Macaca fascicularis: one gene and its partners. The protein of the gene in region 1 purifies or fractionates together with the protein of each later gene. This does not show direct contact. Links are inferred from orthologs where the notes say so. Each region holds a gene or a part of one and is shown in the gene's direction. Other genes may lie near its edges. The genes, in order: KPNA2, CHD4, SMARCB1, POLR3F, POLR1E, NCBP1 and RAN.

The links.
Region 2: the proteins of KPNA2 (region 1) and CHD4 purify together in Homo sapiens (affinity purification with mass spectrometry; 3 studies listed by BioGRID and IntAct, with this or other methods). This does not show direct contact. The link is inferred for Macaca fascicularis from reciprocal best matches to the Homo sapiens genes KPNA2 and CHD4.
Region 3: the proteins of KPNA2 (region 1) and SMARCB1 purify together in Homo sapiens (affinity purification with mass spectrometry; 3 studies listed by BioGRID and IntAct, with this or other methods). This does not show direct contact. The link is inferred for Macaca fascicularis from reciprocal best matches to the Homo sapiens genes KPNA2 and SMARCB1.
Region 4: the proteins of KPNA2 (region 1) and POLR3F purify together in Homo sapiens (co-immunoprecipitation; 3 studies listed by BioGRID and IntAct, with this or other methods). This does not show direct contact. The link is inferred for Macaca fascicularis from reciprocal best matches to the Homo sapiens genes KPNA2 and POLR3F.
Region 5: the proteins of KPNA2 (region 1) and POLR1E purify together in Homo sapiens (affinity purification with mass spectrometry; 3 studies listed by BioGRID and IntAct, with this or other methods). This does not show direct contact. The link is inferred for Macaca fascicularis from reciprocal best matches to the Homo sapiens genes KPNA2 and POLR1E.
Region 6: the proteins of KPNA2 (region 1) and NCBP1 purify together in Homo sapiens (co-immunoprecipitation; 5 studies listed by BioGRID and IntAct, with this or other methods). This does not show direct contact. The link is inferred for Macaca fascicularis from reciprocal best matches to the Homo sapiens genes KPNA2 and NCBP1.
Region 7: the proteins of KPNA2 (region 1) and RAN purify together in Homo sapiens (affinity purification with mass spectrometry; 3 studies listed by BioGRID and IntAct, with this or other methods). This does not show direct contact. The link is inferred for Macaca fascicularis from reciprocal best matches to the Homo sapiens genes KPNA2 and RAN.

Annotation. Positions count from the first base shown.
Region 1 is NC_088390.1:74,467,001-74,470,500, forward strand, and holds part of KPNA2 (importin subunit alpha-1), read left to right. Parts: intron 1-428; coding exon 429-697; intron 698-949; coding exon 950-1,044; intron 1,045-1,144; coding exon 1,145-1,408; intron 1,409-1,896; coding exon 1,897-2,130; intron 2,131-2,378; coding exon 2,379-2,561; intron 2,562-3,500.
Region 2 is NC_088385.1:7,528,353-7,532,628, reverse strand, and holds the start of CHD4 (chromodomain-helicase-DNA-binding protein 4), read left to right. Parts: upstream 1-1,476; 5' UTR 1,477-1,587; intron 1,588-2,201; exon of another isoform or gene 2,202-2,317; intron 2,318-2,434; 5' UTR 2,435-2,512; coding exon 2,513-2,612; intron 2,613-4,276. UniProt on the Homo sapiens protein: ATP-dependent chromatin-remodeling factor that binds and distorts nucleosomal DNA. Acts as a component of the histone deacetylase NuRD complex which participates in the remodeling of chromatin.
Region 3 is NC_088384.1:28,078,284-28,081,783, forward strand, and holds part of SMARCB1 (SWI/SNF-related matrix-associated actin-dependent regulator of chromatin subfamily B member 1), read left to right. Parts: intron 1-278; coding exon 279-408; intron 409-3,500.
Region 4 is NC_088384.1:68,804,015-68,807,514, reverse strand, and holds part of POLR3F (DNA-directed RNA polymerase III subunit RPC6), read left to right. Parts: intron 1-166; coding exon 167-310; intron 311-522; coding exon 523-630; intron 631-2,063; coding exon 2,064-2,255; intron 2,256-3,500. UniProt on the Homo sapiens protein: DNA-dependent RNA polymerase catalyzes the transcription of DNA into RNA using the four ribonucleoside triphosphates as substrates.
Region 5 is NC_088389.1:61,840,633-61,844,654, reverse strand, and holds the start of POLR1E (DNA-directed RNA polymerase I subunit RPA49), read left to right. Parts: upstream 1-1,222; 5' UTR 1,223-1,324; coding exon 1,325-1,400; intron 1,401-1,899; exon of another isoform or gene 1,900-1,970; coding exon 1,971-2,074; intron 2,075-3,172; coding exon 3,173-3,249; intron 3,250-4,022. UniProt on the Homo sapiens protein: Component of RNA polymerase I (Pol I), a DNA-dependent RNA polymerase which synthesizes ribosomal RNA precursors using the four ribonucleoside triphosphates as substrates.
Region 6 is NC_088389.1:60,482,570-60,486,069, reverse strand, and holds part of NCBP1 (nuclear cap-binding protein subunit 1), read left to right. Parts: intron 1-575; coding exon 576-664; intron 665-1,327; coding exon 1,328-1,428; exon of another isoform or gene 1,429-1,434; coding exon of another isoform or gene 1,435-1,457; intron 1,458-2,950; coding exon 2,951-3,107; intron 3,108-3,500. UniProt on the Homo sapiens protein: Component of the cap-binding complex (CBC), which binds cotranscriptionally to the 5'-cap of pre-mRNAs and is involved in various processes such as pre-mRNA splicing, translation regulation, nonsense-mediated mRNA decay, RNA-mediated gene silencing (RNAi) by microRNAs (miRNAs) and mRNA export.
Region 7 is NC_088385.1:137,989,105-137,993,216, forward strand, and holds the start of RAN (GTP-binding nuclear protein Ran), read left to right. Parts: upstream 1-1,312; 5' UTR 1,313-1,343; intron 1,344-1,807; 5' UTR 1,808-1,817; coding exon 1,818-1,853; intron 1,854-2,058; coding exon 2,059-2,143; intron 2,144-2,225; coding exon 2,226-2,351; intron 2,352-3,762; coding exon 3,763-3,950; intron 3,951-4,112. UniProt on the Homo sapiens protein: GTPase involved in nucleocytoplasmic transport, participating both to the import and the export from the nucleus of proteins and RNAs. Switches between a cytoplasmic GDP- and a nuclear GTP-bound state by nucleotide exchange and GTP hydrolysis.

The DNA of each region.
Region 1 (3,500 bases):
AGTGAGCTGAGATCCGGCCACTGCACTCCAGCCTGGGCAACAGAGCGAGACTCCGTCTCAAAAAGAAAAATGTGCTTAACCACAACTATCAGGGAGAACAAATTCAGTTAACAATGGGAGTCTAACCCTGTCAGAACGTCAAAAGTTTTTTTAAAAAGTGACAAGATCTGTAGATTTCTGCAGGGATGGAGAGGAGGGTAATCTACATTAATTTTTGGAAAAATGGTAGTTAATGATACCGCATATATAGCACCATATAGGTAATCTGTTCAGCTTCTCTTAGATTCCAGAATGTCTCAGCATTTAGTGATTTACTTAAAAGGTTGTCTGAAGTTCTAAACTGTTGAATTGCATTTTAAATTGGTTTTTACACAAACTCCTTTTGTTAACCACTTTCAACTTTTATTTCTCTTTTTGTTCCCCTTTAGGAAACTACTTTCTAGAGAAAAACAGCCCCCCATAGACAGCATAATCCGGGCTGGTTTGATTCCAAAATTTGTGTCCTTCTTGGGCAGAACTGATTGTAGTCCCATTCAGTTTGAGTCTGCTTGGGCACTCACTAACATTGCTTCTGGGACATCAGAACAGACCAAGGCTGTGGTAGATGGAGGTGCCATCCCAGCATTCATCTCTCTGTTGGCATCTCCCCATGCTCACATCAGTGAACAAGCCGTCTGGGCTCTAGGAAACATTGCAGGTACTTGGACTTGAAGTTCTTTTGACTGAATGTATCTAAGCGTAATGAGTTCAAAGAAAGGCCTTATAAATAGTAACGACTTCATCAAGTTTTGAGCTTGCTTTCAAGCCGTTATTAGGAATGAAAGTGTCGTCTTTACAAAGGCAGCAGAGGGGCATCTAAGTACGTTTGGGAGTTTTTGCTGGTGCATCAGTCACTGAACATTGGTGGTGTTGGACAAGATAATAAAATTAATCTTGCCTTTTTTTTCAGGTGACGGCTCAGTGTTCCGAGACTTGGTTATTAAGTATGGTGCAGTTGACCCACTGTTGGCTCTGCTTGCGGTTCCTGATATGTCATCTTTAGCAGTAAGTTACTAACATGAATAAAGTTACTCACTTCTTCATTCTAATTTCCCCCATCTTCTCAAAAGACAGAACCTCTCATTGCCTATTTTTTTCCCCCTAGTGTGGCTACTTACGCAATCTTACCTGGACACTTTCAAATCTTTGCCGCAACAAGAATCCTGCACCCCCAATAGATGCTGTTGAGCAGATTCTTCCTACCTTAGTTCGGCTCCTGCATCATGATGATCCAGAAGTATTAGCAGATACCTGCTGGGCTATTTCCTACCTTACTGACGGTCCGAATGAACGAATTGACATGGTCGTGAAAACAGGAGTTGTGCCCCAACTTGTGAAGCTTCTAGGAGCTTCTGAATTGCCAATTGTGGTAAGTTATTTACTTGTAGATTAGGACATTAGTATAAAAAGCATGATCAGGGCTGGGTATGGTGCCTCACGCCTGTATAATCCCAGCACTTTGGGAGACCAAGGTGGGTGGATCCCCTGAGGTCAGGAGTTAGAGACCAGCCTGGCCAACATGATGAAAGCCCATCTCTACTAAAAATACAAAGAAATTATCTGGATGTGGTGGCACGCGTCTGTAATCCCAACTACTTGGGAGGCTAAGGCAGGAGAATTGCTTGAATCCGGGAGGCAGAGGCTGCAGTGAGTCGAGATCGTGCCATTGCACTCCAGTCTGGGTGACAAGAGCAAGACTCCTGTCTCTCAAAAAAAAAAAAGCATTATCAGTTGATACTAATATTGAAATATTACCTATTTCATACCCATGATGGGCCTCTTGTTAAAACTTTTAGGGTACAGAATTTCTGAAGTGCTGGGAAAAAACCAGCATCAACATTTTTTTTTTTTTTTCAGACTCCTGCCCTAAGAGCCATAGGGAATATTGTCACTGGTACAGATGAACAGACTCAGGTTGTAATTGATGCAGGAGCGCTCGCTGTCTTTCCCAGCCTGCTCACCAACCCCAAAACTAACATTCAGAAGGAAGCTACATGGACAATGTCAAACATCACAGCTGGCCGTCAGGACCAGATACAGCAAGTTGTGAATCATGGATTAGTCCCATTCCTTGTCAGTGTTCTCTCTAAGGTAATGAAGTCTTAGGATTTAATCAAGTCATTTTTAGTATTTATAGAAAGCTCTGCTTGATAAGCTTCTTCACGTGCAAGAATCTTGGGTTCTACTTGGAGTCCTTTGCTGAAAAATACCCAGTAACCCCTTTCACTTACAGTTGGATAGAACCTTGGTACTTTGAGTCATTGTTTTTGTGAAAAAGTACTCCTGGAAACTTATTCTTGCAACTTTCTGAAATAAAACCATTTCCTTATGTTTAATAGGCAGATTTTAAGACACAAAAGGAAGCTGTATGGGCCGTGACCAACTACACTAGTGGTGGAACAGTTGAGCAGATTGTGTACCTTGTTCACTGTGGCATAATAGAACCGTTGATGAACCTCTTAACTGCAAAAGATACCAAGATTATTCTGGTTATCTTGGATGCCATTTCAAATATCTTTCAGGTAAGACCTATCAAGGTGGCTTTGTTTGAATTTGAACTTGATAATAATCAGTTTACTATTTAGACCTGGGGGAGGGCAACTGTTGTAAGTTTAGTCACTAGTAAGCCACAGATTCAGAAAGCCTGTTTAGGTGGGCCACACCTTTGATTAAAAATGTGGCAGGCATTATCAAAGATGAAAGAGATGACAAGTGGATGATGGGACCTGAATCGAAGTCGGGCGTTTATGTGAACTCATCACATCTGTTTACTTACTTGATTTAATGTCCCAATTTCATACTGAATTTTGGTGAAATTAAATTTGAATGACTTGGCCAGTCATGGTGTCTCATGCCTGTATCACAGCACTTTGAGAGTCCAAGGTAGGTGGATCACCTGAGGTCAAGAGTCCGAGACCAGCCTGGCCAACATGGTGAAACCCCGTCTCTGCTAAAAATACAAAAATTAGCCATGTGTGGTGGCAGGCACCTATAATCCCAGCTACTTGGGAGGCTGAGGCAGGAGAATCGCTTGAACCCTGGGCCAGGGGTGGAGGTTGCAGTGAGCCAAGATCATGTCACTTCACTCCAGCCTGGCCGGAAGAGTGAAACTATCTCAGAAAAAAAAAATTTGAATAACTTATATTTTTCTTCTGGTTGTATCCCTAATTGATCCAAGCGTACCAGCATATGGCACTTTGTCATAGTGATTGGTGGTAGGTAAGTCCTACTCATCAACTTTAGATTCTAGAGATTTTTACATATAGAAGTTGAGTCTACAGGCTGGGCACAGTGGCTCACACCTGTAATCCCAGCATTTTGGGAGGCTGAGGTGGGCAGAGCACGAGGTCAGGAGTTTGAGACCAGCCTGGCCAACATAGTGAAACCCCGTCTCTACTAAAAATACAAAAAATTAGCCGGGTGTGGTGGCAGGCGCCTGTAATTCCAGCTACTTAGGAGGC
Region 2 (4,276 bases), on another chromosome or scaffold:
TCTTTGGATGGGAGTTGGTAATTATTATGGGATGTTGTAGGGTGAATTAGACTTCATGTAAATGTTTCATCTGTCAGCTTGGTATTTTGGTTGGTTGGTGTTCCTCAAAACTTAGGAGCTGGAGGTAAGCATCTGGAAAATACCTGGATTTTGGTGGGACTAGGTGGGGCCCTAGGTGGGCTTCTAGCCCCCAAGTGTCTGGAAATGATGGTATGAGGGAAGCTGGGGTCCCAGACATGAGGAGGCTTTTTGCCAGGATACTGCTTTGGCCCAGAAAGGGATTAAGGTGTGTGCAAGTGGGGGCGGGGACAGGGAAGCGTGGGTAGCCTGCCTGGCCCTCCCTGCTTTGGGTGTTAGAATAGACTGACAGCGCCTGGAGATGGGGGTGGGAAGAATATGAATATTATGGGATGCCTGGCTCAAAGGGTATAGGGGTGGTGGAGTGGAGATGAAGCATTATGGGATGTGACACTGGGTTGTGTTGGGAGTATTACGGTATGTTTGGTTGACCACGGGCTCCTTGCAATTATTATGGGATGTCAGGATGTGGGTAGGAGAGTAAAATTATTATGGGATAGCTTTCCAGTGTCAGAGGAAAAGAGATTAGATGTCCATCTGTGGGGCGACAGTAGGGCTGTTGATCATTACGGGTTATCTTTTTGATAGAGGAGGGGTACTTACTATATAGGCTGTGGAGCTAGAAGAGGGAAGGGTGGGGGTGACGTGAGCCTCTAGACCCTAGCCTGCAGGGACTGAGGGCAGCCCTAGGGGGTTAGTTATTACGGGATGTCAGTATAGAAAGTGGGAGACTGATTATTATGGGATGTGTGTGGGAGGAGGCCGAGTGTCCGTTGTTGTAGTATGGGGGGGGTGAGTTTCAGACTATTATGGGATGTCAAACTGGGGGTGGATGAAGGATGGTTATTATGGGATGTCTGTGGGGGATGGGGCTGAGTATTATGGGATATGAGGCATAAGTGCTGGGAGGGGTGCTTATTATGGGATGGCCATGGGGAGGGAGGGGTGAATTATTATGGGATGTTAGCATTAGGGCCAAGAGTGAAGAAGTTGGCAAAGGATGGCTATTATGGGATGTCTAAGAGGGTTAGTTGCAAAAGGTCTGCAATATTATGAGATGTCAGCAGCCCCTGGCATATGTGTATGAAATGTGGGGGGGCAGGGTGTGTGTGTGTGTTGTGTGTGTGTGTGTGTTTTTTGGGGGGGGGGGGTGTCCGTGTGTATTATGGGATGGCCAGGAGGTGGGCGGTTGCCCAGGTGACACGCGCGCGCGCGCTCGAAGGGGGCGTGGCCAGTGGTTGCCTGAGCGACGAGGGGGCGGGGGTTGCCCGGGAGACCTGGGGAGGAGGGTGGCGGTAGTGGAAGGGGGGGTTGGAGTTGGTTGAGGTTATTATGGGCTGTCCGTGGGGGGGCGGGGCCTGTGCGGTGGGATTTCCCGGCCGGTGTTTCAGGCCCTTTAAGAGGCGACGCCGGAGCCGGAGCCATTTTCCCCCCTTCGGCCGCGGCGAGGAGGAGCTGGAGCGGGAGTGACACTGAGCCGGACCCAGCGCGACCTGCGGCGGCTCCGGGGTGAGGATAGCGCGGGGTTCCCAAAGAGACGCCCCTCACGGCCCGACCAGCCCCGAGGGTCATCCCGTCAGCCGCCCCTTCCTTAGGCGTCTCCGGACCCGCGGACCGCCCCTTGCCCAGAGGAGCCGACCCTTCCTTTCCTGGCCTGCAGGGCGCCCGGCCTCCTCCCTAGCACCCGCCCTAACCCTGCCGGAGTCTTGCTCCCCGCGACCCCCGCCTTCGGCTTGGTCTCCCACAATGCCCGGCGCCCACCCCCTCGCCCTTTGATCACTTGCCCCCCCGGGACACGTGGCCCGGCCCCCTTCCCGGTGGGACGCTTTAGCCCCCCGCGTCCCTGCCTCCGGCCCCCCGCAGCGCCCGAGCCTCCACGCCCCCTCGTCTCCGCAGCTCTTGAGGAGAACCTGAGTTGTCCCAGAGGACAGCCTTTGGAGAGCTGCCCTGTCTGGGGACTGGCCCCTCCCCGGGCGCAGGGAGGCGCCCCCCCACCCCCAAGTGACCTTGTGTCCCAGAGCGTTTCGCCGCCTGCCGCCTCCCCTGGCCCCCCCGTGCCGCTGCCACTCGGACCCCCTCCCCCGTCACACCCCGCTCGGTCCAGCCCGGCGTCTCCCCTCCCCGCGCTTGCACCAGCCTGCCCTCGGAGGCGTCGCTCCCTCGCTCCGTGGGGGCGCCTGCCGGGGAGCCGGCTTCCGGGCTGCCCCCAAGGAGTGTGGAACTAAGTTCAGCCTGAGCGGTTCGGGTGCCCTGCTAGGGTGGCTGGGGTGGGGGGCGGAAAGAGCGGGTGGGTGTGGGGGAGGGGGACAGTGCGCGTCACTGACTGTTCTCTGTTTCTCCCCCCTCCCCCGCACAGTGACTCGGGCCAGTGTAGAGGGCCCCAGGCCGCCGGCAGGAGCAGCTGGGCCAATTCCCTGGCCGGGAGCGGAAGGGGATGGCGTCGGGCCTGGGCTCCCCGTCCCCCTGCTCGGCGGGCAGTGAGGAGGAGGATATGGATGCACTTTTGAACAACAGCCTGCCCCCACCCCACCCAGGTAACATCTTCCCCAAGGGCCCAGGGCGGGAAGGAGGCATCTGGGGCTCTCCCGAGTGACTGCTCTGGTGAGGCAGGACTGTGTTGCTCGGCTGTCTCTGTGCAGAGCCGGAGGTGGAGGGCATCCGAAGGGAGTGGTTCCCTTCTGCGGAGCTCTGGTGTGAGGGGGGTGGAAGCCATGTGCCTCTTGGGCACCGCGGACGGAGATGCCAGCTTGCTGCACTCTGTCTTGAGGAATGCTCTGCAGTTCCCAGTTGAGGGAGCTCTCTGGGCTGGCAGGCATTACCTTGTGTGTGGGTCCTCGGAGGAATGCAGGTAGCTGGGACCCCTGGAGGCTTGTGGTGGTGGCGGAGGGGGGCATTGAGGATTCTATTTGAAAGACCAGCCCGGCATCTGTGCTAGTAGGATCCTGTGGTTGCCGCTGTGGAAAAGAAAGAGGGAGTGCTGGTTACACTCTATCTGATTATTTTTAGCTTCTGATCAGTTACCGGTTTTCTGTGCTGTCTCAGCTGTGTGAAGTTTGAATCGCGCTCCTCAGCAGGATCTGGAGTGCTTTTAGCCAGGCAGATTGCTGGAATGTTTTGAGTGGGGAAGTGATGGGGGCTTGGGAAGGATGTAATAGCCTAGTGAAGAGGGGCAAAAGAAGGGAGGGCATCTCTCTTCTCTTGGTGAGTGGACATAATTTTGGCTTTTTTCCTACTGGCTTCTGCCTCTATGAGGTAGCCTGGCGTTTAGGCTAGCAGTGTGAAGCGTCTGTGTAGGTGTGCTAGGGGTTGCTCTATCTGTGTTTTGGGGTGGCTCCATGAACTGGCCAAACCCGTATGGTTATAACTACATTGCCTGATTGGGGGAGCCCTTGTCTATCCTCAAATGATGGTTGATGTCATGTTCCTAAGCAGATGTCTTTCTCTTCTGTGTCCTTTTTCAGAGTCCCTAGCTAAGTCATCTACTTGTTTCCTTGACCTTCGTGTTTTCTAGGTTCATTTTTTTTCCTATGTGTCATTTCTTCATTCTTTCTGCTTCTACTTTTCTTCTCATTTTGGAGCCTGCTGATCCTGGTTTTGTTTCTCATCCAGCATCATTCAGTTCTGCCTTCTCTCTTCTTAGCTTCAGCGGAAGTTGAGGTGGTCTGGGAGAGATGCTTTCACATTTGGTACTTTTTAAGTTGGAAGTCTTGACTTCAACCTGAGGCCATTTAGGAGAGGGGTTAGTGTTGTCATGGAGTCTTGGCTGTTGGGATGAGAAACTTGGTTTCATCCTTGTGTAGGGTAGGGGGGCAGATTTCCATGCCCTTGCCCAAGGTGAGGGCAGGGTGGTGGTGCTGGTAAGGGGACCCCGTCCTTCTGAGAGGCGCATGAGAAACAGTAGTGCTGCCTAGACATTGTGGGTTCCACATCTTGGCCTCCCATTGTCCCCTTGGGCTGGGGCTGCCTTTCATGTTGACTGGGAGCTGCGCAGGAGCTGTGAACTCTGTCCTGAGCTGTAGCATGACCCACTTTTTTCACTTGCCACACCCTATTCCTGTCCCTTTCCCAAATCTTCCTCTATATCTCAGTCAGTTTGTTGTTTGCCATTTCAGCATATTATTTGCTTGAGAAGTTTGGGGGTTCCATGTGCATGGAAGGATGTCCCCTTTGCCTCTATGGGTTATCTTTATCTCCACTT
Region 3 (3,500 bases), on another chromosome or scaffold:
TGCTGCCCTGAGCACTACCCTCTGCCCCTGAGCCAGTGCGCCTGGGGCAGATTAGTCTAAATCAGTCCCTTTGGAGGCTCTACCCAGCAGGACTTGTAAGTAAAGCACTCAGTCCAGATTGCCCTTTTGGAAGAGGCCAGCATTCGGTAGTAGTGAGTTTGACACCTTGCTTTTCCCACCTCCCGCATGCGAGGACCTTGATGTGCTGCATCCACTTGGCTGGCTGCTGTGTGCCACCGCCACCAGCAGAGTGACCCAGTGATGTCTGTCTGTTACAGATCACGGATACACAACTCTAGCCACCAGTGTGACCCTGTTAAAAGCCTCGGAAGTGGAAGAGATTCTGGACGGCAACGATGAGAAGTACAAGGCTGTGTCCATCAGCACAGAGCCCCCCACCTACCTCAGGTAATGCGTTCCTGGCCAAGGCATCTCTGGGGACATCTGTGGGGTCTTTTCTCAGACTCAAGAACTGGTTGGGTTGAAGTTAAATTGAAACACCTTTTTTTTTTTTTTTGAGATGGAGTCTTGTTCTTGTTGCCCAGGCTGGAGTGCAGTGGCACGATCTCGGCTCACTGCAACCTCTGCCTCCCAGGTTCAAATGATTCTCCTGCTTCAGCCTCCCGAGTAGCTGGGATTACAGGTACCTGCCACCACACCTGGCTAATTTTTTTTTTTTTGAGATGGAGTTTTACTCTTGTTGCCCAGGCTGGAGTGCAGTGGCATGATCTCAGCTCACTGCAACCTCCACCTCCCGGGTTGAAGCGATTCTCCTGCCTCAGCCTCCCGAATAGCTGAGATTATAGGCATACGCCACCATGCCCAGCTAATTTTGTATTTTTGGTAGAGATGGTGGTCTCTCCATGTTGGTCAGGCTGTTCTCAAACCCGACCTCAGGTGATCCGCCCGCCTCGGCCTCCCAAAGTGCTAGGATTACAGGTGTGAGCCACCACGCCTGGTCCTAATTTTTGGATTGAAACACTTTTTAACCGTTCCCTCTGTTTTTATACATTTTCTTAGCCAGATTTCTAAGTTTGTTCTGTATCATTGAAATTTGTAAGAAACGTAAGCCAAGTCCTGGATTCCAGGGAACAGTTATGAATGCTTGGAAAGCGGGACTCTGCGAGGCACAGTGGCTTACGCATGTAATCCCAGCACTTTGGGAGGCCGAGGCATTGCTTGAGGCCAGGAGTTCAAAACCAGCCTGGGGCAACACAGCAAGACCTCATCTCTTAAAAAACAAATAAGTGGGACCAATTTGTCAGAAAAATTAGTGACTCACATAAACTCACAAAAGAAACAACAATAGATTTGAATGTATAAAAACTTAGAACCTGGTTGGGAGTGGTGGTTCACGCCTATAATCCCAGCACTTTGGTAGACCGAGGCGGGCAGATCACCTGAGGTCGGGAGTTCGAGACCAGCCTGACCAACATGGAGAAACCCTGTCTCTACTAAAAATACAGAATTAGCCAGGTGTGGTGGCGCATGCCTGTAATCTAAGCTACTCAGGAGCCTGAGGCAGGAGAATTGCTTGAACCCGAGAGGTGGAGATTGCAGTGAGCCAAGATCGCACCATTGCACTCCAGCCTGGGCAACAAGAGCGAAACTCCATCTCAAACAAAACAAAACAAAACAAAACTTAGAACCTTTAGAAGAGTATTTATAGTAACAATTAAAAAAGCAAGTAATTAGAAAGTTACAATGTTATATCTAGAATCTATACATCTAGATTTATACAACGAACTTGGATACCTCAACAAATAGATAAAAGATGGTCCATACCTTGAAGTACAAGGGAGTAAACAAACATGGAAAGAATTTGCCCTCGTGTAATTTCAAAAATTCCAACCATAAGACTGAGCATGGTGGCTTATGCCTGTAATCTCAGCACTTTGGGAAGTCAAGGCAGGAGGATCACCTGAGTCCAGGATTTGACTCTGTTGCCCAGGAGACCAGCCTGAGCAACATAGTGAGACCTTATCACTACTGAAGGTTAAAAAAATTAGCTGGGTGTGGTGATCACACCACTCTCCTCTAGCCTGGGTAACAGAACGATACCCTGTCTCTTAAAAAAAAAAAAAAAAAGGCTAGGCATGGTGGCTCACGCCTGTAATCCCAGCACTTTGGGAGGCTGAGGCGGGCAGATCACCTGAGGTCAGGAGTTTGAGACCAGCCTGACCAACACAGTGAAGCCCCATCTCTACTGAACATACAAAATTGGCCGGGCATGGTGGCGCATGCCTGTAATCCCAGCTACTCAGGAAGGCTGAGGCAGGAGAATCGCTTGAACCCAGGAGGCAGAGGTTGCGGTGAGCCGAGATCGCACCATTGCTCTCCAGCCTGGGCAACAAGAGTGAAACTCTATCTCAAAAAAATAAATAAATAAGGCTGGGCGCAGTGGCTCACACTTGTAATTCCAGCACTTTGGGAGGCCGAGGTGGGTGGATCACGAGGTCAGGAGGTCGAGACCATCCTGACTAACATGGTGAAACCCTGTTTCTACTAAAAATACAAAAAAATTAGCCGGGCGTGGTGGCGGGCGCCTATAGTCCCAGCTACTCAGGAGGCTGAGGCAGGAGAATGGCGTGAACCTGGGAGGCGGAGCTTGCAGTGAGTCAAGATTGCGCCACTGCACTCCAGCCTGGGCGACAGAGTGAGACTCCGTCTCATAAATAAATAAAGTAAATAAATAAATAAATATAAAAATTCCAAGCATAAAACAAAAAACTGGCAATGTAAGGAATTGGGGAAGGTGTGATGGAGCTGCGCTCATGTGTGCTGGAGGTGCTGGGATTACAGGTGTGAGCCACCGTGCCCAGCCAGGAGTGCCCTTTTTGTAAAGCATCCTGACATCAAATTTTTTTGTTCTCTGGCCCACTAATACCACCCCTAGGAATTTGTCCCAAAGAAATATTTTCAAAGAACAAAATGAATCAATAAACCCACTATATGTACAGAGATTCTTTGTAGCATTGTGAATAATACTGGAGAATATGGAGTCATTTAAGTACCCAGCCTCAAGGAAAGCCTAGGTTACTGACGGGTCAGCTACTTGAATAGACAAAGGTGTGACCCATACGTGGTGTAATTAAGTAGATTCTGCAGTGACCCGAGACGGGTCCTGTGGGTGAGACGTGCAGAATATAAGATTGTACCCATCTACCTTGTGCATTCAGCTCTCGAGAAAGTATGCATTTCTCTGCACAAAGCCCAAGGAGCATTAAGGAAGAAAAAGGATTATTGTTCAGAGTGATGTGGTTATGGAAAATCTTTTTTATGATTCCCCCCAAAGAAAGGTGGCACGCCTCCAGGCTGGCCAGTGTTACAGACGTGTGCTTTGCAGATTCTTTTTCCCCCAAGGGATGTGGTAAGAACATAAGGATGGCTTGGCCTTTCCAGGGAAGTTGCAGAAGGAAATTGTGTGCATATGGATGGCACTTTAATTCTGCACACGTCAGCTGGGAATCTTTTATGGGGCGATAAAACAGTTTCTTGGT
Region 4 (3,500 bases), on another chromosome or scaffold:
AATCCAAGACGTTAAAAATAGGTGAGACAATGTGGAGCATATAGGAGCTCTGTGTACTATCCTTGCAATAATTCTGTACGTCTTAAACTGTTCCAAAATATAGGTGTTTTTCTTTTCGTTTTTGGAAATTGTTATAAACACATGAACTGTGCATGTTCTTTCCTAGGCCTCAAAAAAGAAGGTGTACATGCTCTATAACCTGCAGCCGGACCGGTCTGTGACTGGCGGAGCCTGGTATAGTGACCAGGATTTTGAATCTGAGTTTGTAGAGGTGCTGAACCAACAGTGTTTTAAATTCCTACAATCCAAGGTGAGGTATGATTGAAGAAACATCACTGCAAACCCTCTTGTAAAAAGTTTTTCATAGAGAATTTTAATCTATCATATTTTATAGGAATTAAAAACCTGAAATTGGTAATTTTTACTAAACTAAATATGTTCTGCTGTTGGTTTCAGTATAAAGTGTATTCAGAAAACACACCAATATTCTTGCTTAGATTTCTTATGTTTCAATCCTTATAGGCAGAAACTGCACGAGAAAGCAAACAGAACCCAATGATACAAAGAAATAGTTCATTTGCCTCATCACATGAAGTGTGGAAATATATCTGTGAATTGGGAATCAGTAAGGTCAGAACTGAATTTCATCTTATTTTTTAAAACATATTCTTCATCACATACAGTATATTCCAAACATGTATTTGACCCAGACTGTTTTTTGGGGGATGATAGCTACGAACATTCTCCAGAATCCACTTTGGGAAAATACTGTCCTGTATCTTAAGCAAAGGCAGTCGCTGCCATTGGGCATTGTCTGAACTGACACTAAGCTTGGGACACTGATGCTTTTTAAATTTTTTTTGGAAATAGGGTCTCATTTTGTTGCCCAGGCTGGTTTTAAACTATTGGACTCAACTGATCCTCCTGCGTTGGCCTCCCAAAGTGCCACTGTACCTTAGCCTTTTGAAATTCTTTTTTTTAAGGACACTGATGCTTTTCACAGTGAAGAAGTGGCCATTTGGACATTTCATTTTAATTTCCTGGGCCTCAGATTTCTCATTTATAAAAACTAGGAACTGGCCGGGCGCGGTGGCTCAAGCCTGTAATCCCAGCACTTTGGGAGGCCGAGACAGGCGGATCACGAGGTCAGGAGATCGAGACCATCCTGGCTGACACGGTGAAACCCCGTCTCTACTTTAAAAATACAAAAAAACTAGCCGGGCGAGGTGGCGGGCGCCTGTACTCCCAGCTACTCGAGAGGCTGAGGCAGGAGAATGGCGTGAACCCAGGAGGCGGAGCTTGCAGTGAGCTGAGATCCGGCCACTGCACTCCAGCCTGGGCGGCAGAGCGAGACTCCGTCTCAAAAAATAAAAATAAAAATAAAAAAATAAAAACTAGGAACTTGGACTATTTGATGTTTAAAGTGCCTTTCTGCTCAAGCATTTTATAAATCTCCAATAAATTCCTGCTAAAGAAATGCTACTTTTTTATAAGATTTCTAGATTTTACTTAAGAAGTAAAAAATACCAGAAAGTGTCAAACTCAGCATGCGCTTAGAGTTCTGTCCCTGGCATTTCAGTGGTTTGTGCTAACTTGGACTATTGTTCCTCCTCTTTGTGCTTCAAATTACTCCACCCCAGCATAATGTTTCTCCCATTTCACAGAAGAATTGTGACCCTTTACTGTTTTATTTATTTGTTTGAGATGGAGTTTGGCTCTTGTTGCCCAGGCTGGAGTGCAGTGGTGTGATCTCAGCTCACTGCAACCTCCGCCTCCCATGTTCAAACCATTCTCTTGCCTCAGCCTCCCGAGTAGGTGGGATTACAAATGCCCACCACCACACCTAGCTAATTTTTGTATTTTTAGTAAAGATGGGGTTTTGCCACATTGGCTAGGCTGCTCTCAAACTGCTGACCTCAGGTGATCCACCTGCCTCGGCCTCCCAAAGTGCTGGGATTACAGGCGTGAGCCACCGCGCCCAGCAACCGTTTACTGTTTTAACACCCTCCAAGTGGATATCTCCCTGTCCTATTTGTGTCCTTTCTGATGTATCCCTTTTTTAGGTAGAGTTATCCATGGAGGACATTGAAACCATCCTGAATACACTCATTTATGATGGAAAAGTGGAGATGACGATCATCGCTGCAAAAGAAGGCACAGTTGGCAGTGTAGACGGACACATGAAACTGTACAGGGCAGTCAGTCCAATCATCCCTCCCACGGGTTTGGTCCGGGCACCCTGTGGACTCTGCCCGGTGAGTTACAGTGGCTTCACTTTACACTTGACTGCCCCTGGGTGCAAGTGCCACATTAAGAAACAGAGCAAGCACACCCCAGTTTTCTCAGACTCTTAGGGTTGACCAAGAGCTATTCAAACCTCTGTGAAACCTTGATGAACAGACCTTTAATGAACAAATCATTGCTTTACATTCTTTTTTTTTTTTTTTTTTGAGATGGAGTCTCACTCTATCGCCTAGGCTGGAGTGCAGTGGCACGATCTTGACTCACTGCAACCTCCACCTCCCAAGTTCAAGCGGCTCTCCTGCCTCAGCCTCCCGAGTATCTGGGATTACAGGCACCCGCCACCATGCCCAACTAATTTTTTGTGTTTTTAGTGGAGATGGGGTTTCACCATATTGGCCAGACTGGTCTTGAACTCCTGACCTCAGGTGATCCCCTCGGCCTCCCAAAGTGCTGAGATTACAGGCATGTGCCACCATATCCAGCCTCCTGCTTTACATTCTTTCTTGGAATAACCACATTAAGGATATTTGCGTTTTCTGCTCTTGGCCTTGAAATGGACACTTTTTGATGAGGGCTAATCATTTCACCTAAATAGGGCAGAAAATGAGATTTGTTGAGAACCTACCTTGGGCCAGGTGTGTCCTTGATGATTTCCATAGGTGGTCTCATTTAATCTTCCTTACCTTCTTGAAGCTCGTGGTGTTACTTCCCCTTAAAAGTGAGGGAGCTTAGGCTTAGGAAGACCTAGGGGCCTATAGCTTAGAAGTAACTGGGATTCAAACCCAGAGATCATGTCTTTCCCCTGCAGCATGCCCCAGCACTCCTCCTTCATTCGTTCCCAAATTTTATAAGTGCCAACTCTATGCTCTAGTCACTAAGGATACAAGAGAAAGTATAAGACACTGTTCCAGTCCTCATGGCATTTATAGTCATGAGCCTGCGTGTGTTTTATTTCATTATATCAGCCTTTGTCTATATGCCTAAGCTCTCTATGCCCTGGTTTCAATCTGTAGACAAAAGGCTAACATATTAGGAATTCTATTTTGCACCCTTCACAAAAAGGTAGCTAAACATGAAACATTCGGTAAATCAAAATCAAGTCATTCATATGTATAGGTCTCCCTGCCTGTTTTCCTGTGTTACCTGGTGATGACCTTTTGCCCAGCAGACAGGTGAGCATGGTCATCTTAATGCCACAGTAAAAGGCCTCTCTACTACTCCTAACTTGATGATCACAAAGCGGGCCCTATTATAGT
Region 5 (4,022 bases), on another chromosome or scaffold:
CCATCACAGCTCACTGCAGCCTTTGCCTCCTAGGCTCAAGCAATCCTCCCACCTCAGCCTCCTGAGTAGCTGGGACGACAGGCGTGTGCCACCACACGTGACTAATGATTATTTTTTTGTAGAGACAGGGTCTTGTTATGTTGCCCAGCCTGGTCTCAAATTCCTAGAATCAAGGGATAGAACTGCCTCTGCCTCTGCGCCTGGCAATTTGCTGATGGCTGTGTTGTTATTTAGGGAACGTCCTTGTCTGTAGGAAATACTATAGTCTTCGGGGTGAAAGGGTATCAGGTTGACAGCTTACTCTAAATGGTTCAGGGCAAAAAAAGTTCTTGCAGTGTTTCTTTAAGTTTGAGACTGGGTAATTAGAAAAGAGTGACAAGTTGCAGGCTTTAAGATTATTCCTAGGATTCTGGGTGTTGGAGGAGGGTGTGAGGATGTGTGGAAGGAAAAGAGTCCTGAAAGAAGGTGATTTGGAAGACAGAGGGGAGTCAGCCTGAGTTCTTGCCCTTCAATAGCACGCATCTTTGGGCAAAGGGGGCCTCGGCCAGGGTCCATGCTTAAAGGTCCTGCTTTTGCCTTTTTTGTGCTCTGAAAACTCCCCGTGCAGAAGAATGGTTGAATCCGCAGTGAAAAAGGGACATGTCTATCAGCTCGGACTCCCTCTTCTATTTCAGTCCAGAATCTCCTGGCCAAAGGCCCTGGGGTTGGTTGGGCTTCTGTTCCATCACCTCAGGGTTGATCGGGCCACATGTGTGCACGCCACAGCGCATTGCGGGGCGCTGTTTGTCGGACTGTGGACAAAGCTTGTACCTAGAACTGGATGTCCACGTGGGTGGGTGGGAGGTCCTAGAGAGGGGCGGCTTTTTGCCAGCGGCCACATTTAGTTGGGGCTCAAGGAGTTCCTGTTAGAGAATTCTAAATTTGAACTTGGTCTTTCAGGTCTTGGGAAGACGTGTTTGTCACGGTAGGAGAGAGACGACACTCTCTCTAGACTGTGCTGAGCCGGAAGAAGGCTCACAGCAAGCTTAGGCTGAAGCCGTAGGATGCCTCAGGCTCTGGACCTACAACACCCAGAGCGCAGGCGAGCGCTGAGCTAATCACGTGCTGCGCCTCGGCCAGTCGCGCGAGTATGTGGCACCTTGTGGGCGGAGACCGCGCCTCTCCGCGCGGGGGGCGGGGACACGCGGCTCGCGCACTGTGGGCGGTGCCCGGCTGGGGCCACGCCTTTTCCGGCCTGCCGCGCGGCGTAGGCTCCCGCGTGTTTAAAAGCGGGTTTGTGGCTACTGCTGTCTTAACTGTTGTACTTGGCGGACAAACAGGCGAGATGGCGGCGGAGGTGTTGCCGAGTGCGAGGTGGCAGTATTGTGGGGCGCCCGACGGGAGCCAGAGAGCTGTACTGGGTAAAGACTGCAGAGCTGGAGCAGTGCTCCTCTAACCCTCCCCCCTTCCGTCTCGGTATCTCAGCTGTCCCCTCGCACTCCGTTAGGCTTCTCCCCAGCGGGGCCAGGACGCCTGTAGTCTCCACCACTCTCCTGGGCTCGGTCGGGGCTGCCCTGTCCGTCTTTCTGTCACTACCGCCCAGCCGGATTGGGACATCCCACTCACCCGCTCCCCAGGGCTGTGTCCAGGACCCTGCTGTCCCCTCACCCACCAGGTCTCCCACCTCCCCCGTTTCCCTCTCTTCACTGGGCAGGGGTTCCTTCTGTCACTTTAGGTGTGGACCAGGCGTCTGCTGTCAGCCTCCTTCCGCGAGACATTCCCCCTTGTTACAGCCCCTCCCCAGGGTTCTCCCACCTCCCTAACCCCTCTTCTCAGCTGGCCCCGGATCTCCTCTAGTTCCCTTTGGGTCAGGACCCGAGCTTCCTTGCCATCCCCATTCTGACACTCACTCCCTCCCAGTGACAGTCTAGTCCCACCGTACATTGTGTGGCCTTCTGCTCTCACCTGATTCTTGGGCTGCACTCTTACAGTCCAGTTCTCCAACGGGAAGCTACAGAGTCCGGGCAACATGCGCTTTACCTTGTATGAGAACAAAGATTCCACCAACCCCAGGAAGAGGAATCAACGGATCCTGGTAAGTGAAGCAGTTGCCAGCTGCCTCCACTCTGCAGGGCTCAGAAGGCGCCTGGGAGTGGGTGGTGTGGGAGGGAGTGAGGGGAGAAACAGGAGAGTAGTAGCAAATGGACCTTTGAAGAACTCTGATGCCCAGCAACTTGGGATGTGGGGACAGGCTCCATCTTTCATTCATTTATTCTTTCAACAAGCATTTATGGAACCTCCTCTGTATCCCTGTGCTGCAAGCTTCTAGGAAAACAGCCAAATCAGGCCTAGCCCCACTCGGAGTTCATACTCTAGAACAGGGTTTCTTAACCTCAGGACTATTGACTTTTGGGGCCAATAATTCTTTGCTGTGGGGGCAGCATCCCTAGTCTCTACTCACTGGATGCCAGTAGCACCAGAGTGGATTTCCCTGGATTGAGAACCTCTGCTCTAGAGAGATGAGAACTGGCTGTGAGGGACACTTTTACACAAAGCTCTGAGGCCACGTGCGGAAGATTACAGGGCAGAGTGAGCTCAGTGGGAGGAGAGGTCTCTGCCAGAATGCCTTCCTTGGGGAGGTCATGTTGGAGCTGAGCCTTGAAGGCTGGAACGAGGGTTTGGCAGTCAAGGTTTGGTGTTCTAAGTGAAAAGGATAGCGAGGACAAATGCAGAGAAGCAGGAAAGCTTGCTTATGATTGGGGAGTCAATCAGCCATGGTCCTGAGAGTATACAAAGAACAGCCATGGGAGAGATGGGCAAAGAAGGTGAAAAAGGGCTTGGACTTTGGGCCAAAGAGAGATTGCTTACAGAATCACTTTGTTGCATGCCTGTAAGTGCTAGAAGCCCAGGGCCTCTCTCTCAAGTCTTGTGATAGAATTCCCCCAAGAGCTTTTCATACCATTAGAAGCTAGCACCATCTGAGGCTTCTCTTCCAAAAGTTGTCTTGCTTCCCCCGCAGGGACACCCCATATTCCCTTAGAGAGAGTGGAGCTGGATCATCTGCCAGAGATGAACTAGTTCTAATCCATTGTGAGTCTGGATTCAAAAGCCTCAGCAAATGTAGAAAAGAGAGATGATGCTTAATACCTTTCAACATTGGTTGTAAATGGAGTTTCTCCTCTCTGCATTTTAGGCAGCTGAAACAGATAGACTTTCCTATGTGGGAAACAATTTTGGTACTGGAGCCCTCAAATGCAACACTTTGTGCAGGTAATGGCAGGGGAAGGGACAGCGGGAAGGGTGATGGGGTTGGGAGTGGTGGCAGCACTGGCACTGCTGTTTCCTGTCTGTCTTAAGGGCAGTAGGAGCCATCTAGAGCGGTTTACTAGGTGATTCCTGTGTTCCTATTAGACATAGAGCCCTTCCCCTCACCTGTAGACATTGCTGGAAAGGAAAGATAACTTGAATTTCCTGAAAACCTCATTTGTAACCTTGTTTGTTTATAGCTGTCTTATTCCAAAAGGCAGTTCTCTCCATTAATTTGGAATGTGTGACTAGTAGGTCAAAGCTTGCGTGAAGTTTACCTGGGAACTAACGACAGGTAAAGAACTTGGTAGTGTTGAAGGCTCTGGGCTGGGAAAGAGAAGCCTGGGATTCCCATCCCTCTGTGCTGCTGTTTGACTGAGTGGCTGGGTAACTCTGCCCATCACTGACCCCTAGTCTGTACAATGAAGATTGTCCAACCTCAACTATATCACTCTCGGGGGCTGGCATGATGCAGACAGGGCCCTGTGATGGTACCCAACAATGAACTACAAACCAGGCCCTTTCTGAGCCTTACTGGACCATACTCCAATAGAGGTCAGATTGCTGTATAGGTGCTGAGAACTACTAACCCTGCACTCTCCCCTCTCAACGATGCCCTAGTTCCAACTGGTCTCCTTCCCGTTTACTTGATTTTGCCTCCATAAAACTGTTGTGCCATAAATTCTAGTGTAATTCTAGATTCCTACACCCCAAAAGAGTTTTCCATTACAGTACAG
Region 6 (3,500 bases), on another chromosome or scaffold:
TGTTTTATGCTCCTTTTTCCCCTCTTTTGAAGCTTTCCTCTTTATAGCTGATATAACAGCTTTTTTTTTTCCGATCAAGTCTTTCCAAAGCATTCGACTTGGTTTTGCACCCTTATTTTGTCATTTACATAATAATTACATTATTAGACTAATGAATACTACTGGTACTAACAGGTTTCGGAACAAGCAACTGAGGATCAGTAAACAACTCAAGTTGAAAGAATGGGAGTAGCAGTACATGAGTATTCTAACTACTAGTGTTTAACGCGTTGTTGGCAGCTTTCCAGCTTTTCCACAGAAATGCACAGGGCTGCTGATTGCTTAGCTCCATGGGCACTATTCACACAAAATTTAACATAAATAATGCCTCCTGGAGTTATTGTATATAGTGGCTCTGGGAATGGGAGGTGTTGGTTAATCTAGCTTAGTCTGAGAAATGGAGGGTCTGTGAAGAGCTTCTACTCTGTCAGAAAAATAGGGCCTGGTAGAAAACAGATTATAACCTAAAAAGGTTAAATAAAATTTGTGATAGCAGATTTAGCGTGTAATGTTAATTTTTTATGTTGCTGAAATAGGTGGGCAGCCTCACAAAAGGAGAAAGACCTCTGATGCAAATGAAACTGAAGATCATTTGGAATCTTTAATATGCAAAGTAGGAGAAAAGGTATGTCACACAATAGGCACAGGCTGTGATGGGTTTAAGAATGTGGTTGACTGCTTTGATTAATTTTTGCAGCTGAAAACTTGAACTACATTTTGGTAAAGCTGGTATTACCATGCATCTGTATCCCAAATTGAATCCATGTTGAAGCCCCTGGGATGCAGATAATTGATTATTATTAGTAATTTAGTAATTAATAATTTTCATAGAAGATGAGCCTTAAAAGGGACCTAGGGTATAGCCCCTTAATTTATACATGAACTAAATCAACCCTGAATACTTGAGGTAATTTGCCCAGAGTAACAGAGTGAATTAGTAAAAGAGGTAAAATGGAGCCCATGGTGTCCTCCCATTTCTAATGCTTACTCTGCTATCATAGACTGCTTAGTTTTTAAATTTCGCTCATCAACTTTTCATGGATTTCTAAAGAACAATAACTATCTGAATTGATTTATACTAAACCCATTATAGCTCTGTATGCGTGTAAGACTATTTTAATGATCATGTGGAAATTTTTATTTTAGTACACTAAAATAGCAAAAGGACAGATGATTGGTTATGATTTTTAAATGATTTTAAAATATATATTTACATTTAAATAAATTTTTAACAGTAAATTTATATTGCTGAGTACTTGACAGATATTTAATGTGATGTCCTCTACAGAGTGCCTGCTCTTTGGAGAGCAACCTCGAAGGCTTGGCTGGTGTTTTGGAAGCTGATCTTCCTAACTACAAGAGCAAGATCTTAAGGCTTCTTTGTACAGTGTATGTATGCAAAAGATTTATGAATCCAGGTGATAATGTATTATCTACTCTTAAATGCTTTGGGAAATGTTTAAAATATATGTTTATGTTCTATATGTCCTTGGCTTTCCTTCTATGGGGAAGTTTGTACAAGTGAGCCAACCTTTGGCCCTTTAATGAACTCTTTTTCTTAGGGATAAAACTAAAATTGAGCATTTTCCTTGTGTGTTATTTCTTAGAACCTTAGAATCATTGTAGTTGACTTTTTGTAGAGTACTGTCTCATTCAGATACATATTTTTAAGCATGTATATTTAAATGTATGATACTTAGATTTTAAAATTAGTAGTACCAAACAAATTTGGGAATTGGTAACACAAGTAATAGCTCTTCTTGGAAGACTGAAGAGGCTTTGGAAGCCACTAGTAATAGGCATACTCTCTGGATAAACAGGAGTCTTTGTAGTTAACATGAAATTGTAACATATCCATGAGGTGTTTTTAAATTATGAAGGTGACGTTTATCACTTCTCAGCCTTTTAGTTTAGATCAAGTGAAGGTAACTTTAAGAAACTACTAAGGAAATCTTCTGAAATCCTTTATTAAAATGGGGTAGTATTTATACTTAAACTGTTGGAAACCTTGTTTGTTTAAGGCTGAACTTGTATTGCTTCGCAGTATTCTTCTTTAATTTTTGGTTTTGGTAGGGTTTCAGGGAGTACAGTTACCATCAACACAGGTATTTTTTTGAAGACCTTAATTGTCCCTGATGTTCTGCTAGATACTTTAGGAAAACAAGTCAAAGAGAATCTCTTGCCCACTGAATGATTATGAGTTCTTATTTGCTTTTTGAGCTAATTCTAAAGGCTGCCTAAATTAGGAAAAATTGCTTTTTCTAAAGGTTTATTGTAATCCTTTCCCATACTTTTCAAATAACTTTAACAAAATCAACATACTTGGAGTAAGCAAATCTTAACTATATCAGACTACGTTTTAAAAAAATTCAATAATTAAGCTGGTAGGAACTTAGATGAAACTCGTTTTAATTGTGCCTCTTTTCTAAGCAACTAGAATAGTGTTTCTCAAAGTAGAATTCTACTTCCATGACATTTGGTTAGCTAAGTTTAGAAATTCTGAATGCCGCACCCCCCTTAATGATTCTGTATTAAAGAGGCTTGTTTCACCCAGGATTTCTGAGACATTTTACCATGGAAACCATGTTCTGTGGAAATGCTATTCAGTTCCACTAAACACACTTGGAAAAAAAACTGTTGTAGCATTAGTTTTATTTATTTCAGTAAGATAACTTTACAATTAAATCATTTACTTTCTTAACTCTTGGATTAATTAATGAATTAAAATGAAAAATTACGGGACTGTGTTTGTAACATTTCTCAGTGACATGCTTTTTCTGGAGTATTTTTAAAGACAGCTAAAAGTAATCCTGTTCCAAAGTTAATGGAATGATAAAAAGATTCATATAAAATTCAGCAACTTAACGCTATTGTTTTGGGGTTTTCTCGTTATACTGGGTTCTTAAATCAGTGCACGTCTGTTACCTGAGAAGTTGACAATTTATACAACATTAGTTGGACTGCTGAATGCCAGGAATTACAACTTTGGTGGAGAATTTGTAGAAGCCATGATTCGTCAACTTAAAGAGTCATTGAAAGCAAACAATTATAATGAAGCCGTATATTTGGTAAGTTTGTTTGTTTGTTGGTATGTTATGACTTACTGTTGGGATGGAGGGAAAAGGTGAGCTACAACCAAATAATTTAAAATGCTCCCCTGAAGCATTCTCATTCACTTTGATAGCTTCATAGGCCACCTTTATTTTGATGACACCCCCAAATCTGTAACTGTGTCTCCATCCTTTCTCCTGAGCTCCAGTCCAGTATTCCAGATGCTAGCTGCATAGCCTTCAGATATCTTACCAGGAAGTGCCTAAATTAATGTAGCATTCATACCTCCTTTTTTCTGCCCTTTCCCCAGCTCATACAGTGGCCACTGTGTACTGAATAGCCCATCTATAAAGCTGAGCTTTAATTTTTGTCTTCCCTTTGCCTTCTTGTACCATAGGTGTTCCCAATCC
Region 7 (4,112 bases), on another chromosome or scaffold:
TTGTTTGTAGGACGCAGCGGCCAAGGCTGCCAACCTATGAAACGCTTTGAGAAGCTGGGCGCTTTGGGAGGCCGAGGCGGGTGGATCCCCTGAAGCCAACCTGGGAGACATAGTAAGATCCTGTCCCTAAAAATTTAAAAAAAAAAAAAAAAGAAAAAAAAAATTACCCCGGATGTGGTGCGCGCCTGTAGTCCCAGCTAATTGGGAGGCTGAGGCGGGAGGATCGTTCGAGCCTGGGAGTTCGAGACCAGCCTGGGCAACATACCGAGACTCTGTCTCTCTTTTTTTTTTTTTTTTTTTTTGAGCCGGAGTCTCGCTCTGTCGCCCAGGCTGGAGTGCAGTGGCCGGATCTCTGCTCACTGCAAGCTCCGCCTCCCGGGTTTACGCCATTCTCCTGCCTCAGCCTCCCGAGTAGCTGGGACTACAGGCGCCCGCCACCTCGCCCGGCTAGTTTTTTGTATTTTTTAGTAGAGACGAGGTTTCACCGTGTTAGCCAGGATGGTCTCAATCTCCTGACCTCGTGATCCGCCCGTCTCGGCCTCCCAAAGTGCTGGGATTACAGGCGTGAGCCACCGCACCCGGCCGAGACTCTGTCTCTTAAAAAAAAATAAGTAGCCATTTTCCGGGGTGGGGGCATCCCTCTCTGGTTCCTCGCTCTCCAACTGGCCCTGGTCCTGGGGGCGTGAAGGCTGCGATCTGGAGAGACAGAGCCGCGGGCTGACTCTGGAGGCCCAGCCTAGGATCCCTTCATTCATTCATCCGTTCTGTCACTCACCCGTCCTGCGCGCACGCGAGCGCCATCCTAAGCCCCAGGACCCCAAGTACCCCAACCCCACGGGGCACAGACAAGGACTGGCTGGCCAGCGCCTGGAAGCCGCGTGCCTGACCGCGTCTGCCCAAGCGAGTACCGCCTCCCACCCAAGAGGTAGCACGGCCGCGACAGTCCGGCCGCGCCCAACGACTCCCGCCCAGGGGCGCGCCGCCTCCCTGTCAGCGCATGCGCGCCCCCGAGCCCGCACTGGGCGTCGGCGCACGTGGCCCCCACGGGCCGGCATGCGTGCGCGCTCCCGGCTCGCCCTCCCACGCGGTCCATCGCGCCTCCCGCCCCACCCTAAGCGCAGCGCCGGCCGCAGCGGCCGACTGAACCAGGTTGCGTGCGTGCGCGCGCGCACGCGCGGGCCACGTGGGCGGGCGCCGTGCCGTTGCCCCGCCCCTTGTCAACCCCGCCCCCGTCGGCCCCGCCCCTGCCCGCGCGCCGGCGTCGGCTGCGTCTCCGGCGTTTGAATTGCGCTTCCGCCATCTTTCCAGCCTCAGTCGGACGGGCGCGGAGACGCTTCTGGAAGGTAGTGAGACGCGGCGGGCCGGGCAGGGCAGGGCCGGGCGGGGACAGGGGCGGCGGCAGCGGGATAGGGGCCGGAGCCGGGGTCAGGGCCGGGGCAGGTGGCGGGCCCAGGGACAGCGGGCGGCTGTGAGTAGGTGGGTGGCGCGGGCCCGGCCGTGCCGGGGCAGGAGACGGGCATGGGGTCGGCGCCCGCCCCCGCGAACCCCCGTTTCATCCTCCGCTCTCATTCCCGTCCCGGTCTCAGTCCCGTCCCTATCCCGACTTCTCCGTCCGCCGTTCCCCGCGCCCCGCCGCCCCGGATGCCGGCCCCGCCCGCCGCCTTCCCGCTCCGAGGCCCGGCCGCCATGGCGCCGCGGGCGGGAGGCCTTTGTGGGGCGGGCACGTGGGGCGCTGGGGGCGCGGGAGCGGGGCCGCCATGGGCTGCGGGGCCGCGCGAGCGCTCGCCTCCGTCCTCTGCCTCCGCAGGAACGCCGCGATGGCTGCGCAGGGAGAGCCCCAGGTCCAGTTCAAAGTAGGTAACCCTGCGGGGCGGGAGGCGGCCGAGTCCGACCGCGTGCGACTCGCGGGTCCCTCCTCCCGGACCCACGATGGCTGTAACGGGGCCCCGCATCCATATTCTTTGTTTTAAGTGAGCCTGTGATGGTTAAAGTTCCATGACTCTGGGATCTTGAGAGGTGAAGTGTTTTGGGTTTACTTCCAAATGTGTTCTCCAACAGCTTGTATTGGTTGGTGATGGTGGTACTGGAAAAACGACCTTCGTGAAGCGTCATTTGACTGGTGAATTTGAGAAGAAGTATGTAGGTATGTGCAGGAAAACCTTGCTTGTGGAAATACGTGAGAAATGGGTAAATTCATCCACTCAATCATGTCGTTTCCGTTTTAGCCACCTTGGGTGTTGAGGTTCATCCCCTAGTGTTCCACACCAACAGAGGACCTATTAAATTCAATGTATGGGACACAGCCGGCCAGGAGAAATTCGGCGGACTGAGAGATGGCTATTATATCCAAGGTAGGCATTTGTAACTTGCTGAACAGTTTTTGAGAGGTTTTGTGTACTTCAGTTTTCAAGGTTATAGAAACTCAGGTCTGTTCCAACAAATAGTGCTTAATACTGTAATGGGAATTGTGTCATTTCTGGGTTAAAAAAAGACGTGGACTTCAGGGAGTTGACCACCATTTTGGTGGCAGAGGAGAAAATTTTATGAAAGTTGCATGCTGTGTCATGCTAGGCATGGTTTAGAAAAACCTATGACTTACACTGGAACTTATAAGTCATCTTTAAAACAATAACAGGCTGTTAACAGCAGTTTCAGTATTTGAAAACTTAGGTTCTTGTGTGTAGTTTGGTGTGGCGATCAATGAATATTTCTAGTCCATTACAAAGCAACACCAGATACTAGACCAGAGGAGATAGGAGGTCTTAACAAGTGTTATACAAGACTAGCCAATTTCTTGTTAAATTGTTTGTAGTAAGTTGTGCAGAGTATTTTTCTCAAATAGTTTGATTTAAAAATCTCAAGGAAAATGTTCATTGTACCAAAAAGAGAGGAATAAACAAAATACTCATCTCTCCTGGAACCTCACGTTGCTAATAACACATTATCTGGAATCATTCCATGCCTTTTGCTCTCCTTGAACATGTACATATAAACACAAGAATTTCCCCCCCAAAAAATCCTTTAACCAAAAAGTTGTGGTTTCTTGCCTTACTAACTGTACCATAGTTATTCCTGCAGGTGAGTATATAGACTTTATCTGGGTTATTTAATTTTTTTTTTTTTTTGAGACAGGGTCTTGCTTTGTTGCCCAACCTGGAGTGCAGCTTCCGCCTCCTAAGCCTCAGCCTCCTGAGTAGCTGGGACTACAGGCACCTGCCACTATGCCTGACTAATTTTTGTATTTTTTTTTGTAGGGATGGGGATTCACCATGTTGCCCATGCTGGTCTGGAACTCATGAGCTCAGGTGATCCACCCACCTCAGCCTCTCAAAGTGCTGGGATTACAGGCATGAGCCACATCGCTTGGCCTATTTGGAATTTTTAAGACAGGAATGATATTTCCTAGTATAGTCGGCCATTTAAAGACTTTCTGAAGACTATTTCCAGGCCCTACCCTCAGAATATGGCAGCTTGGTTCTCCAGAATCTCACTTGGCATTAATTACTTCAGATAGTGTTTTGGGGATGAGGGGAGTATTAATGGTGAAGTTTATCAGGGAGATTTGATAGAATCAGCTCATCTTTCTTAGGAAGAGTTCTGTGTTAATGTTCTTAGAATTGAAAGAGACTTTGAAAGTGAGGGGAGAGATCTAGGTGCCTCGTTGAGGTCTAAGACTATAGTTGAATCCTAGTCTGCGGTTCTTAGCATTCTTCACTTGTGTGGTAAACTGAGTGTACTAATTACCGCAACTGTTTCTTTCAGCCCAGTGTGCCATCATCATGTTTGACGTAACATCGAGAGTTACTTACAAGAACGTGCCTAACTGGCATAGAGATCTGGTGCGAGTGTGTGAAAACATCCCCATTGTGTTGTGTGGTAACAAAGTGGACATTAAGGACAGGAAAGTGAAGGCGAAATCCATTGTCTTCCACCGAAAGAAGAATCTTCAGGTGTGTAAAATTAAAACTTCCTGAGTTATTTCTCTTAGCGGAGATTGTATGTAAGACCATGAAATTGACCAGTGTCTATTATATATGGAAATGATTTTTTTTCTCCCAAGATGGAGTCCCGCTCTGTCCCCCAGGCTGGAGTGCAGTGACGCAATCTGGGCT